Caenorhabditis elegans: one gene and its partner. The protein of the gene in region 2 binds, or shares a complex with, the protein of the main gene of each other region. Each region holds a gene or a part of one and is shown on either strand. Other genes may lie near its edges. A codon is read from its position in the direction of its gene.

Region 1 (6,821 bases), on a different chromosome or scaffold from region 2:
AAGTTGATTATATTGCGTTTTAAATTTGATTAAGGTATTTAAAGTCGATGGACAGCGAGTTTAGGTTTTAAAAAAAATCTCACCGTCCATCGACTTTTAAATACCTTAATCTAGTTTAAAACGCAAGATAATGAACTTGTATACTCAAAATTTGACGGCGATTTCAAAAAAAAAAGTTTTCAGACAATTTTGAGTCTATTAAGGCAATAAAAAATTCGACTACATCACCTTTAATTGAGAACGTTTTTCTGTCAGAAACTCTCAGAATTCCAATTTGTTAGGTGAAAATTATTGCGTTTTGATTCAAATTAAAGTATTAAGGAGCATTGTGCGACGAGCCGAGTTAGCTTGTATAACAAAGTCACTAAATTGTTGCAAGTACGCAGAGCCAGTGAGAATCTTGAAAAGCCTCTTGAGAAACAATATACCTCATATGCTCGCTTTCATGATTTATTTTTATTGCAAATTTAACAAGTTTCTAATCAGTTTGAATATAAAGATCAACTGTATCATATTCTGGAGTTCTGTAAGTTCCTGCATCAAGTGCTGACACTTTTTGAATAATCAATAGATTCTTCTTCTTGTTGTATGTAGTTTTTGGTTCTACCTTCTTTTTTGTCTGAAGCTTTAGATTTTTTTCGAAAAATATGAAATTAATTACCTTAACGTTCTCCCAAAAACCACATTTTGTCTTATTCTTTCCATTACAAACTCTGAAAACGTGTTCTTGACCGACTCCTTTTGCATTCTTCACAAATCTCGTAATGTTTTTTGGATTGTAATATCCGATTTCCACTCGATCTCCAGGCTGAAAATGTGAAACCGATAATTTTTATTTTGCAAGCCTCATCAATTTTGAACATTAAAATTAATTTTGGAAAAGGGAAATTGGTGTCGTAAAATCGTAAAATTACTTTTGGAAATTAAGAATGTTTCCTACAACTTTTAATCTACATGCCTTTACAAACACTTGTCTGCATGGCATGGAATTTGAGTTAATTGTAGAGAGAAATAAAACAATCAATACACAAGATACAGTAATAATTCGAATCATTTCTGAATGACTAAATGAACTTTCTTTCCGTATCTTGTACTTTTATATAAGTCTCGGAAGTAAACAAGGGCAATCCTTCAACAAACTATTTTTTATTTGTTTGGAATTAGTCTGATCTTTCCATCTTTTAAAATCGTGCTTTTTGAGAGGAATCTTGTTATTTTGATCATAGCTTCTCAGTGCTTTTCGGGTTTCGAATCAGAATTTAAATGGTGAAAATGGAATTAGATTGCCACAGAATATTTCGATTTGCAGCAGCGACAGTGAATATGAAGAACTCTACAATGTATTAGTTTTTTAAGTCAAAGTTTTGGAAAAGTGCTAATTTAAAGACAAATTAGACGTTTTTTAAAGTAATTTCGAGCAATGATGTGAACTGAATCTCAATATGTATTGTTCAAATAATGATACGTAATTACAAATACCATAAAATATATAAACCTGGAGGAAAACCATGGTTTTTTGTCTACAAAAATATTCTTATTGTCAACAAAAAAAATATATGCTTTGATATTTGGCCATTGTTAACCTATGATCCTTAGGACCCTATCAGTAATTTTAAGCACTTTCCCCACTGCTGATATGATTGTTTTGCAAAGCTTTGACACACAAGTTTAAAGGCACACGCAGTTTTTGAATAGGTCTCGCCACGCTCAATCTCATAACGGTCGTAACATGTGCCAAATTGTAGAGTTGTGGTTATTTGGTGCAGAAAATTAAGTTTATAAAGGTTACGAATTCCAAAAAAAAAAGAAATTTCCTTCACAGGGAAAACTGCGATTGATTAAAAATGTAGCACATAATTTCAAGTTTCACCTAAATGACGGTGTCCTAATTTCAAACAAACCTTCGCCATAATCATTCTCCATGGCATTGAGTCGGAGTCGACTTGAACAATCAATGCAATAAGAGCAATGGCTACAAGTAAAACTCGAACCATTATGATCGCAACAATTGAATGAATAAACTTTCGCCCCGTGCAACATTTATAGGTTGGCGTGGGAAGGCGGAAATGAACAAGGAAGAGATTATACAAAAAAGTGTGAAAATTGCAATTTACTAGACTATAATCCTCATGAATAAACTATTCGTTCATTGAAATTAATCCGAACTTTTCAACGTTGTAGATCGTTTCTTTTTGCAATAGACCAAAATTATATTAATTTTTTATGTAGCATGAAAAGAAAAAAAACCAAAAATTATGACAATATGTTCTGGAATCAATGGAATTATATCACAATTACACTCGAAAATATGATATCATTAAAATTCATCTTCATCCGTTTCGACTGATTCGTCTAGATTCGGATTTCTTCCACGCCGACGGCCACGTTGCAAAACTTCCTCATCCGAAGATTCAGATTCAGATTCAGGTTCCGAATCCTCGTTTTGAATTCTTGAAGTGTCTGTAGAAAGGCTTTTCTGATCTTCTTCTGGTATTGTTGATTGATCGGAATCTTTAGATTCATCTTCATCCTCTATTTCAACTAATTTCTGAGCCAATTGAGTTCTAGTGAGTGGATATTGAATTCTTTGAAGACAATGAAAATATCCAAAAGCATCAGAATCCTTGATTTTCTCATCACAATTTGCGCATAGAAGCCATTCGCAAATTGATGTTACTTCATCTTCAGTTTGGTCTTCAATACCGCGAAGGAGTTTAGGTGCACAGAGTAAAAGTGCCAGAATATGAAGAAGATGTGGAACATCTGCCAGTTTTTTTGATTCCTCCTTATAATCATCCAAAGTTTTCAGGAGACTTCGGTAGGCCGTACACCAAATAGTTTTGACATACTCTACGGCTCGTTGTTCAAGTTCAGTTCCGTCCTCTGAAAAATTTTAATGTTAATGAAAACAAAATAAAATTTAAAAATAACCAACCGAGATGTTTATATACAGACATTAGAGGAACAATCATTTCTTTTGAAGTTGCAGCTTCTTCTCCAATTTTTTGTAGGTGCACAGAAGAATCTTCGATTTCTAGAAGCTGAAATCTGTAACCCTTGTATACTCATCTTTCTGAATTAAACTCACGAAATGAATTCTTCCTAGGCAGGATAAATATAGATCTTTAATAGGCATTGGTCTTGAAATATCTGAAAACAGACATATTTTGATATCTAGGTTTTCAATGAAAATCCTACAGTACCTCGATTTGCAAAATTTTTGAAAATATTCGTTAAGCCACCAGAAGCAGTTGGGAATTCCATAGTGGCATGAAGAGCTCGTGTATGAAAATAGACACTTTCCAGGTTTTTTGCACTGAAAATTGTAAACTTTTTCCTGAAATCTATGGAATTTTGAATATTACCCAAGTGAAGATATCAATCCTAGCTGATTCCAGACAGCTCCATCAGCTGGATTAATGCGGCATGATTGCTCGTAATATTCCTGAGCTTTTGGGTAGTTCTCCTGAAAATAAATGTTATATGATTTTTCTAAAATACTACCCAAACGACACCCTTCGCTCTTTAGAATTTTTTGGTATCGAAAAATTAAAAATTTCGGGTTTTTTTTCGATTTTTCTTTTGGTCCATGTTGGATCAACTTCGAAAAACGAAAAACAAATTTTGACATCATTGTTTCCAAAATTATGAAAAAATTTCAAAACTACCTTATATCTCATTAAATCTCCCATTCTTAACAGAACATAAGCCATGAACACTCGACTATTCTTTTTCGACTTGATAGGTTTTCTGTTTAGAAATACATCTGGTGTCCATGTTAATTGTTTTGAGATATCGTTTCCATAATTTGGAATTTCATAATGATAATGAACAAGAAGTGATAAATCAGTCAAAAATCCAATTGCAAGATTTTGAACATTATGATTAACAAGTCGATCATTTTCCATTGCTTTTGTTATTTCATCCATCATTGATTTCAGTTTATTCCAGAATTTTACATCGAATCTTTTGGATACAGCAGTTTCGAAGTCAGCGACAAACATTTTCATTAAATGCTGGAATTATTCTCATTTCGATAAATCAACACCTCTCAATCTTACTCTCAAATACTGTGGTGCAGCTTCGGTGCCACGTGGAATTTTTCTCAACTCTACAGTAAGCTGTTCCCATTCGTCCGACATCCTGTGGAATCCTCTGGAACAAAATTGTTTTGTTTTTTTTTCAAATTTTAAAATATTAATCTGAAATCCTACACTTTTTCTAGCCACTCAAAAGAAGAAACAGGAAGTCAGGCGAAAAATTATTTTATCTTCAACTTTTTTTGTTTGCAAAAATTAAATGATTCAAATAACCCGGTTCAGAAAAGGAATGGGGATGCTGCATTTTGAAATTAAAATAAATGGAAGTTTCAAAATGTGTTCGAAATGACAAAAACAAAACGGATAGGCATTGGATTCTATATAATTCTATACATACAGAGAATCTTTGGGATGTTTGGAAACGGAAATGGGGTGGGAACATTGAAAACTTATCAAAAGAAACGTTTTCAATAAAAAGCATTATAGTTGGAAAAGAAAAAGTTCTACCGGTTTAGCCGAAACAAAAATATGAAAATTATCACAATTTCACATGGGGGAACGATTGCAGGCGGACTTAGACTGGAAAGAAAGTATTTTGGTGGGATTTTTAAGTTTTGGAGGAAACGGTGAATACGGGGTTAAAATAATAATAATAATATCGGGATGGGTGATGAGGGGGTGAATAATAGAACAGGATTCAATGTGACGAGAAATGATTAGTAAAATAACGATGGGCGAGATTATTCTTCGACTGGAAGTTTTTTGGTTAGTGTACACATGGGGTAGGGAAAATCACTGGGAAGAATAGAAAAAAGAGAGAAAATAAAGGTACATATTCGGGGAGAGACGAGAAAATCAACTAAAAAGTTGCAGTGTCCCTTGATTTTCAAAAAAAAAAACAAAATAAAACTAAATGAGACCATAGACATTGTAGTATGCCTTCTTGTTAGCAGCGGCCGCTGCTGCTGCTGATTGTGGGGTTTTTGCAGTTGCAGGTGGAATATATGACCAGGAAAGCATTTGGCTTCTCATTACAGCATCCATCACCGAATATTGCGAGTCTAAGTGAAGAACATTCGGAGCTGATTGAGAACGAGTCAATTTTGGAAGAATTATGTCGCGAAGTCGTTCGAGAACCTGAAAAATTGGAATTCATTCATTAAAATTTATTTAAAAATCAAACTACAATATTTTTTTGGATTTTTCAGTGTAGTGGAGTTATTCATGAGCGAAAAAAATGTTTTTAAAAAATACATCGATTTCTTAAAAGCATGTTTTTATCCATTTTTCGACAGCGTCAAAGAGTGAAAAATCAAAGGAAGCCACCATATTTAGACAAAACTGCCAATTTTAAATGTGAAAAAAAAGAGCGAAAATGTGTGAAGTACTGGAAGAAAATAAATTCCGAATTGTCCTCGCGGTGTACACGGGGAGAACGCCCAGCTCGTAAATTTACACAACTTTTGAAGAGACATAGTCATATGAAAACGTATGGTCTCGCCGCATGGCGGCTTACTGTAGTTTTTCGCTCGTCGACGCTGTCGAAACATGTACAAAGTACAAAAAATCGATTTTTTAAAAGTTTTTTGACACTCATGAATAACCCCATAATAAATCATAGTTCTACCAAATTTCTAAAGTCGGTATTTCCCACTCACCTCTCCAAATACTGGCCGCTCATTTCTATCGAACATAATGCAATTGTCATATAATTTGAGCATGCTCTTCGGCGTATCATGTCGAATTTTCGATCTATCCGGCCTCAAATACCCTCTTCCAACCATAAACAATATCTGATCTCGATTATTAATGTTGGAGTATGGTAGATGCGAAGATAGAATTTCGTACATGCATATTCCAAAAGAATACACATCAGACTGTGGGGTATATGGATTATCATCTTGCATTCTGATGACTTCAGGTGCCATCCAGAGAATACTTCCTGTTGGTTGTTGTTGCTGTTGACCTCCGTTCACTGTCCATTTCGTTTTGACAGTTGCCAAGCCGAAATCTCCAATTTTTACCGTTGACATGTCATCCATAAGGAATATATTGTTCGTTTTCAAGTCACTGAAATGTTTTAAACATTTAAACATAAATTATAGATATGGTCAGTTACCGATGAATAATATTTTTTGAATGTAAATAATTCATTCCAAGAGACACTTGCTTCAGTATATCAATGATAGCACCCATTTCAAATTCGACGCGTGGCTCTGAAAATTATTAAATTATAAGAATTAAAATCTCAGTTCAGATCACCTTGAACATGAATATGTCTATACAAACTCGATCCTTCACACCATTGAGTAATAATTGCAATTTCTGGTTCTCGAACCCATCCCATAAACAGCAAAACATTCAAATGACGTGTTTTCTTTAAAACTGCAACTTCATTTTTAAAGGCTGCCATTTGAGAAGGCGTCGGATCAACAACATTCAGCTTTTTTATAGCAACAGTTCCGAAGAATTCTCCACGATAGACGGTACCGAAGGATCCCGAACCAACTTTGTATTGAATCTAAAAGAATGCTTGTTTTAATAGTTTTGACAGAAGTTTTGAGCGTTTTTTTATTGCTTCAACTGTAAAAAAAAAAGCTATTTTCAGATAAATAAAATGTTTTTTTTCTATATTCGATCACTGAATTTAAATGAAAAAAATTAGGATAACATGCTCCTTTTGTAGAACTGCCGGTTTGCAAAAGCCGTGCACCCTTGCTGATGTAGAATAAACTTACAATAAATTCATTCGGCAATATTTCCCAATCCTCATGATGTGGT
Region 2 (6,754 bases):
TTCTCGGATTCGACAAGCTTCCAACGACCCACAAATTGTTCAGCAGACATTCTGAAAATTTGGAAATTTACAATTTTGATAAAGAAGTACCAGAATAATAATAAAGGGAATTAAATGAAAAACGAATAAGTATTAAGAAATTCTGGATGATTTATTTCTGCTTTTAGAAAATTGCCTATGATTCTTTTGGATTCGTATTATTAAATTTATAGTTTCTAATGACAAAAATAAAAAATGTAATGCATTGCAATAAGGAATATTAATACAAAAAGCAGGAGAAAGTGGTTTAGATGAGTGAAAACCAGAAAAACGTATATATAGTAAATAGGACACAAGGGGGAGTGTACTGAAACTGCTGCCACGTTGTATTGGGTGATGGACAAGTTGGTCAATTTTTGGACGGTTTTGAACTGATAACATGGAATACACTAAGATGGAGTGTAGTATGTACATGGTGAATCACGATTAATAGTACTTTTTAAACTTTTGACATATAGTGTCGTTCAAAAGTAGATACAATGCGATCTCGTTTTTTTTTTTACAATTTTTGACATTTTTTTAATTGAGCATAACACCAAAACGCTACTTTTAACGTGGAAGAGATGGCGGGCAACAAGGTTAAACGATGGCCAATGTAGGTTTTCGATTAAAAAAATATTTTCCAGAACTATATGTCAAGATGTACCATAACGGATTGATCTACTATAAATGCGGGAATTTTTCGCAAGAAGCTTTTAAATATTTGAGTGTTTATACAGTATTTGTTATACAAAAAACAAAAAAAAATCAAAATTGTGACTTTTCTCTGACTTTACTGTGTCCGTTTATGTGTGAGTCAATCGAAAATGTTTGTTCAAGTTTTGAAACCGACTTATTTGACAACTATGACGTTGCGAAAACCAACATTAATTTAAAAAAATATTGGGGGACCACTGCTTTTCAGGGCACATTTTCAGTTTTCCCATACCTAGTTTTAGAAATATGATAACATTCACTGAAAATTTGGAAAGATGAGTGGAGTAAGGTAGAATTCACCAGAAAAACAGTTTGTATGTAGATATTTTGTATCGATTTCGTAGTTGATATAATCTTAGTGAGATTTGGAAAAAGAAGGAAATATAATTTCTACTTCAATTGAAAATTGGGTGTCTAAGTGGCATGACGAGACAATACAGCAGTAAATGGTAAACTGTAAAAGCCGCAATTAGTAAACAAAACCAGATTTTTTTCTCAAGTTTTCAAATCGAAACATCTCAACTTTACACAAATGTATTTCAATCAACAAAAGTATACCTCTTTTCATTTGAATGACCTCGATATGAGAGTGATACAATCTCCTCTCACCCTGTTTCTAAAAGAAGAGCGCTATTTATCTGACTGAGAATCGGCCCTAGACACTGTCTGACGGGACACAGAGGAACATTCAAATTAAGGTGATTTTAGAGTTTTTAGTGAGGGTGAATGTTCTGGAACTAATTCGGTATCTGGAAGTTTTCGCACGTTTAGCAAAATAGTAGACTTACAGTACTCTAGAATACTCACAGTCAGGGAATGTGTAGCTTCGATTTGCGGAGCATAAAAATTGAAAATGTTACTTACTTCATGAAAATCAATTTATAGTAGGCTGATAGGAATCGAAAAGGTATGATTGTGAAATGAAAATGCAATTTTCTAAATGGTTTACGGGGGTGGCAAAAGAATTCATAATTGTTTAGATACGTGGGAGTGCTCTTGGAATTTTCAATTTGAACGAAATGGAACATAGTACTACTATTAATTTAATACTATTGTGAAATGATTTGAAAAGAGTTAATTAGAAAATTTTATTACCAAAAAATTGTCAAATAATTGAATCCAGTAAAATAAATCAAAAATAAATCCGAAGAATATGATCTCAATGATTTTAAGCGGTTCCAATTCCAGCCATCGTGAGATTTTTCAGTGTAGAGCCCTTTCTTTTCATCACTCCAAATACTTCATGTAGAACTGATCGATATCGTAAAAAGTAACTCCTTCCATTTCTTTCTGTTCACTCGGGTTTTTGCACAGAAAAGCGACAATATGCTTGTGATCTTCTGCAGATCTTCGTGCACTTTGAACCAATTGCTCCGCGCAGCTTCTCTCGTTATCACATTTCTTTAGCACAATTTTTCCCTCTGCTTGAAGCTCCATTAATGCCCGAATTACTGGACGAACTGCTCGATTCTTCGTTTTCTGATAATCAAGTTCATCAAGCACTGTTGATGGCAAAATGCAGATGAAATCATCGATATCCCAAATTTTTAGAGCAATTCTTATTTTGTCAACTATGACGTCATAATCCATCAATACATAAACAGGTCTCCAATCCTCCCGGTTAACTTCATCATTTTGTGTCTTTATTTGAATATCCAAACGTTTTTGTTCCGATTGATTAATTCGTCGTAGCAATGGACCCGATTCTTCTCTATCGTGGATTATCTCCATTGGTGGGAATTCGACGGAAACCAGATAATTGATTAATTGACTCAAAAATTCAACATTGGGTTCGGATATTGGACCATTCAGCAGAAAGCTGGTCATAGAAATAGATGGATTGATTGTGAGTGACATGGATGTGAATACGGAATTGATATGATTCATAACCAAGTCGTTGAGCTCGTTCCATTTCTGAAAATAAGTTATATTTATAATTAATTCCCCTTGATTTTAAAATTGAAACATCTATTCTACATTTTCTTATCTCTAAATCTTACCGTTTTGGCGAAAACCGATAGCTTCTGGAAATGTGGCTCATTTTTCTGCTCATCCAAGTGTCCGAGTATTTCGGCTGAATCGGAAATCCATGAGATAGCTTCAGCTAGAAGGCATTTGGATGAAATCGTACGTGAATAAATTGTAATATACAGCGTTGAAATTGTGTCGAAGCAATTGTAGAATTGTTGAACTGAAAAAATTATGTTATCCTACAGCAGAATAAGAATTTTCTATAGATATTGGAATCGGTACTTACATCCAAATTTCTTCATTGCCAATTTAGATGCTAAACGACACGTTGACATGATCAGAGACCAATCGAATTCGAGTTTCTGTTCGATTTCTGCTTTAAACTCGTTTACTATTTTGATTCCAGTCATCTGATAATCCATTCGTTTTGATTTCTCGTTCAATGCCCAAATGACAAAATCTACCATCAATTTATCAGTGGATTCTTTTTGTGGAAATTTCAAATATTCCAAGAGTTCAGTGCCTTTTTTATATGGAGCATCGGCGAGCTGTCCTAAAATCATCAGTCTCAGCTTCTGTGCAACATTCAGGTCAGCTCGGAGACCAGCGAGAACGTGGAAAGCTCTTCCTTGATTCGGATCTAGATCGATTGCTCTTGAATAATATCCAACTGCCAAGCATTTCTGAATTTCTTCGTCTGGCATATAACGATGAAAATCTCCAATGTACATGTTCCACAATGCTGGGTATTTGTCATCGGGAAGCGAAAGCATTTCTTGAAGCTCTCCACAGAACATTGTCAGCAACACGGCTATTGCCATGTTTTTCTCCTTATCCTGTAATAAGAACCTTTGGAAATCAAATAAAAATAATACAATGACTAAAAGTTAATCTTACTCGAATAAAAAACTGGAAAGGGTGATAATATCCAACAATCCACAATTTATTGATTGAACTTGTACAGTCCCCGTCGCGTTTCATAATCTCAATGAGCTGTTTTCGGCCTCTGAAAATTGTAATTCTTTAAATTTTAAACTTAAAGATCGTTTATTAATTTCATAGTTTCTGACTCAAGCTGTTGTATTTTAAGTTTTTGTTACAGAATAAAACATACTTTCTGCGCAACATCGCCATCACTGGAGAATGCACATTTTCAGTTTGGCCGTATTTTTCCAGTTGATTACAATATCGTTTGAACTTTTCAGTGACTTCATCTGACTTTTGCATATTTATATTCTGAAAAAAATAAATTAAAGACAGATGGATAACCGGATAATTATAATAATAGTTATTGAATATAAAAGGAAGAGGAAAACAAAATAACGACTGCGAAAAAAAAATCAAGAAGAAACTGCGCACTATGTTGCAAATTGGCCACGCCCACAATTCAGTTCATTTTTCTCTTTATTTTCTTCAGTTTTTATTGAAATATAATGTTTTTTCTCCAATTTTCTAAATATTTTCTCTTAAAATTCAATTAAAAAATGTGTTTCGAAAGATTTTAGAATTAAATTTCAGCGTTTTAGTTCAAAATTGGACATAAATCTTGTGTTTTCAAGTGTTTTCATTTGCTAAAAATCTGTTTCCATAGCTGTATAATATTTGTTGTAAGTATATACGCAAAAACTGTATAATTATTAATTTTTCCAATAAAAAAGAAAAACCTCTTGAAATTAAAATTGTTCTCATGTCTAAAAATCACTTGTTTCTTTATCTTCAAACTAAATAGTATTTCTTATTTTAAATTCTTAAAGTTTCAGATTGTATGTCATTAGGAGCGGAAAACCATCAAACTATCAAGAAGAAACTTAAATCATACGACTACAGTATTCGAGTAAGTTTTAAAAAAAAGTTTTCGTGTAAAAGTTGCACAAAATGAAAATTGAGGTGACATAAACTGAATAAAAAAGAAAATATTCATTTCAAAAACGTTGTATTTGTTCAAAAACAAATTCGGCAGTTTAAGCAAAATGTGATTTCTGATCTATCGCGTCGATTTTCATTCATTTCTTCTCTCGACACTTCATCATCGCATCTTATCTTTTTTGTCACTTTTATCATCATCAACCACCGCCAAGACACCATGCTGCAAACATTTCAGATGTTCTCATGCCATTTTTTTGCCCTAAACTTTCATAAAAATGTAGATTCTGCCAATCTTTCATTTCCCAACTTAACTTTTTCAAAGTAATTTAAAATAAAACGACACTACTCTTTAACATTTCATTTTGATTTAAATAGTTTATTATACTTTGTACTAGATTCCCCTGTTATCTAAGATAACCTTCAACCATTAGTTATCGAGCTTATCAATTCAAATTTCCAAATAATTTAGGCGTCTGCTAGCTGCGACTCTTCTCCCAGTCTCTTTCAACCATTCTTTCAACTTGTACTCCATTACGAAGACGGCGAGACACAAGTTTTGGATTTCACTTCAGAGCAGGCAAGTTTTTTTTTTAACTTTAAGATACTTTACCTGTATTTCTACTTATAAAAGTGAAAACTTCCAAAAGAAAACTCAGCCACATTGATCATTTTAATTTTTTTTTTTCAGCTGGAGAAATTTGTTGCTGATTTGAATAAATCATCCTGAATTTCTACTGAAGAATGAGTCAAAATGCCGAACAAAAATACATCTACTCCAAACTTCCACCTGGTGCAATAAGCAAGTCGACAGTAATTGTACTCGCGACAGGAATTGCCAGTTACACAGCACTTGAACTTCTATATGGTTCGGAAACGTTCTACAAAAAGGCAGTAATGCCAATGGTACACAAATTTGTCGATGGAGAAGATTCACATCGATGGGCGGTTCGAGCTGCTTCGTGGGGACTTTTGCCACGTTTCGGATGGAATCGAAAAGAATATCCTGAACTGAAATGTGAGCTTTTTGGACGAGAATTCAAGAATCCTATCGGGTTAGCTGCTGGATTTGATAAAGATGGACAAGCAATTACACAATTGGCCAAGAATTCTGGATTTGGACTCATTGAAATTGGATCTGTAACACCAATACCACAACCAGGAAATAATAGACCACGCGTGTTTAGGTTATTGGAAGATGAAGGAGTTATCAATCGATATGGATTTAATAGTGATGGAGTTGGAAGAGTTCATCAAAGAGTACGAAGTGCCAGAGATTCATGGGTTCCAGAGAGTTATGCATATTTTGGAGTCAATTTGGGAAAGAATAAACTTACGGAAGACGCAAAGTCAGTTAAAAAGGCAAAAACGTTTAAATTTCAGTTCTTGTAGATTGGATTATGAAATTGGTGTCAACTACTTTGCTCCACATTGTGATTATCTGGTTCTCAATGTATCATCACCTAACACTCCTGGGCTCAGAAGTATGCAAAAGAAAAGTGATTTGGAGAAGCTGTTGGCCTATGTACACCAAGCGCTTGAAATGCACAAGCTGGAAAAGCAGCCTCAAGTTTTTCTGAAAATTGCTCCGGATCTAATTGAATCAGAATTAAAAGACATTGCACAAGTTGTGACGAATAAAAAGTTTGCGATCGATGGAATTATTGTATCGAATACCACAATTGCACGACCCGACTATCTCAGATCAGAGAATAAAACGGAAACAGGAGGATTGAGCGGAGCGCCGGTTAGAGAAATTAGTACGGAATGTGTCAGAAAAATATACAAGTGAGTTTTATAACTACTCACGGCGTGTAAATTGGGACATGTGGCCTAGCGAAAATTGAAAAGTGAGAATCCTAGGCCATGGCCGCTGCAAAGCGCGCGAAATTTGAATTTAAATTTTTAATATCATTGAAATTCGATGAATGAGACATTATAATGGATAAAACTACAAAAATATATACAAAATTGTTTTTAAAATGAATAAATCACATATAACAACGATTATTTTCCTAAATAAAAGTGGAAATTCGATTTATTAGGCAATTATTAGGAAAATACGTCAAAAGTGGCACATTTTTGAACTTTTTTCAAAAACTAGATCCACAAATTTTCTGAAATTTCACCAGATTACTCAGTAGACTACTTTAATCAAATTGTGTGCAAAAAATTCATACCCACC

What was found.
Region 1: the proteins of smg-5 (region 2) and smg-7 are in contact, whole or in part, in a crystal structure (PDB 3ZHE), measured with the Caenorhabditis elegans proteins. Residues at the interface, in NP_491929.1 of Caenorhabditis elegans: Val84 (codon at 3,515), Thr87 (codon at 3,506), Met88 (codon at 3,503), Gly91 (codon at 3,494), Glu92 (codon at 3,491), Gln94 (codon at 3,485), Glu95 (codon at 3,482), Leu97 (codon at 3,476), Ser98 (codon at 3,473), Asn109 (codon at 3,440), His116 (codon at 3,419), Glu123 (codon at 3,398), Ile124 (codon at 3,395), Gln125 (codon at 3,392), Cys127 (codon at 3,386), Leu128 (codon at 3,383), Val130 (codon at 3,377), Gly131 (codon at 3,374), Tyr132 (codon at 3,371), Ser134 (codon at 3,365), Arg135 (codon at 3,362), Asp138 (codon at 3,353), Asp156 (codon at 3,299), Ser350 (codon at 2,565), Thr352 (codon at 2,559), Ser353 (codon at 2,556); in NP_501033.1 of Caenorhabditis elegans: Pro23 (codon at 4,076), Arg27 (codon at 4,064), Met30 (codon at 4,010), Lys31 (codon at 4,007), Val34 (codon at 3,998), Asn73 (codon at 3,881), Asn76 (codon at 3,872), Leu77 (codon at 3,869), Ile79 (codon at 3,863), Gly80 (codon at 3,860), Phe81 (codon at 3,857), Thr83 (codon at 3,851), Asp84 (codon at 3,848), Leu87 (codon at 3,839), Leu88 (codon at 3,836), Tyr91 (codon at 3,827), His92 (codon at 3,824), Lys104 (codon at 3,788), Gln105 (codon at 3,785), Trp108 (codon at 3,776), Thr109 (codon at 3,773), Asp111 (codon at 3,767), Val112 (codon at 3,764), Leu114 (codon at 3,758), Asn115 (codon at 3,755), Lys143 (codon at 3,671), Tyr152 (codon at 3,442).

Annotation. Positions count from the first base shown.
Region 1 is NC_003282.8:6,738,289-6,745,109, forward strand, and holds smg-7 (DNA/RNA-binding domain-containing protein), read right to left. Parts: upstream 4,156-6,821; 5' UTR 4,143-4,155; coding exon 4,062-4,142; intron 4,017-4,061; coding exon 3,669-4,016; intron 3,467-3,668; coding exon 3,366-3,466; intron 3,317-3,365; coding exon 3,204-3,316; intron 3,151-3,203; coding exon 3,089-3,150; intron 3,042-3,088; coding exon 2,936-3,041; intron 2,884-2,935; coding exon 2,318-2,883; 3' UTR 2,243-2,317; downstream 1-2,242. Other genes in the region: Y73B6A.3 (TransThyretin-Related family domain), read right to left, coding at 479-619, 662-808, 1,902-1,994; lin-45 (Raf homolog serine/threonine-protein kinase), read right to left, coding at 4,950-5,177, 5,699-6,110, 6,160-6,256, 6,303-6,561, 6,779-6,821.
Region 2 is NC_003279.8:6,732,220-6,738,973, forward strand, and holds smg-5 (PIN domain-containing protein), read right to left. Parts: upstream 3,943-6,754; 5' UTR 3,934-3,942; coding exon 3,821-3,933; intron 3,713-3,820; coding exon 3,604-3,712; intron 3,543-3,603; coding exon 2,993-3,542; intron 2,927-2,992; coding exon 2,736-2,926; intron 2,650-2,735; coding exon 1,963-2,649; 3' UTR 1,810-1,962; downstream 1-1,809. Other genes in the region: lbp-5 (Fatty acid-binding protein homolog 5), read right to left, coding at 1-50; dhod-1 (Dihydroorotate dehydrogenase (quinone), mitochondrial), read left to right, coding at 5,314-5,918, 5,962-6,357.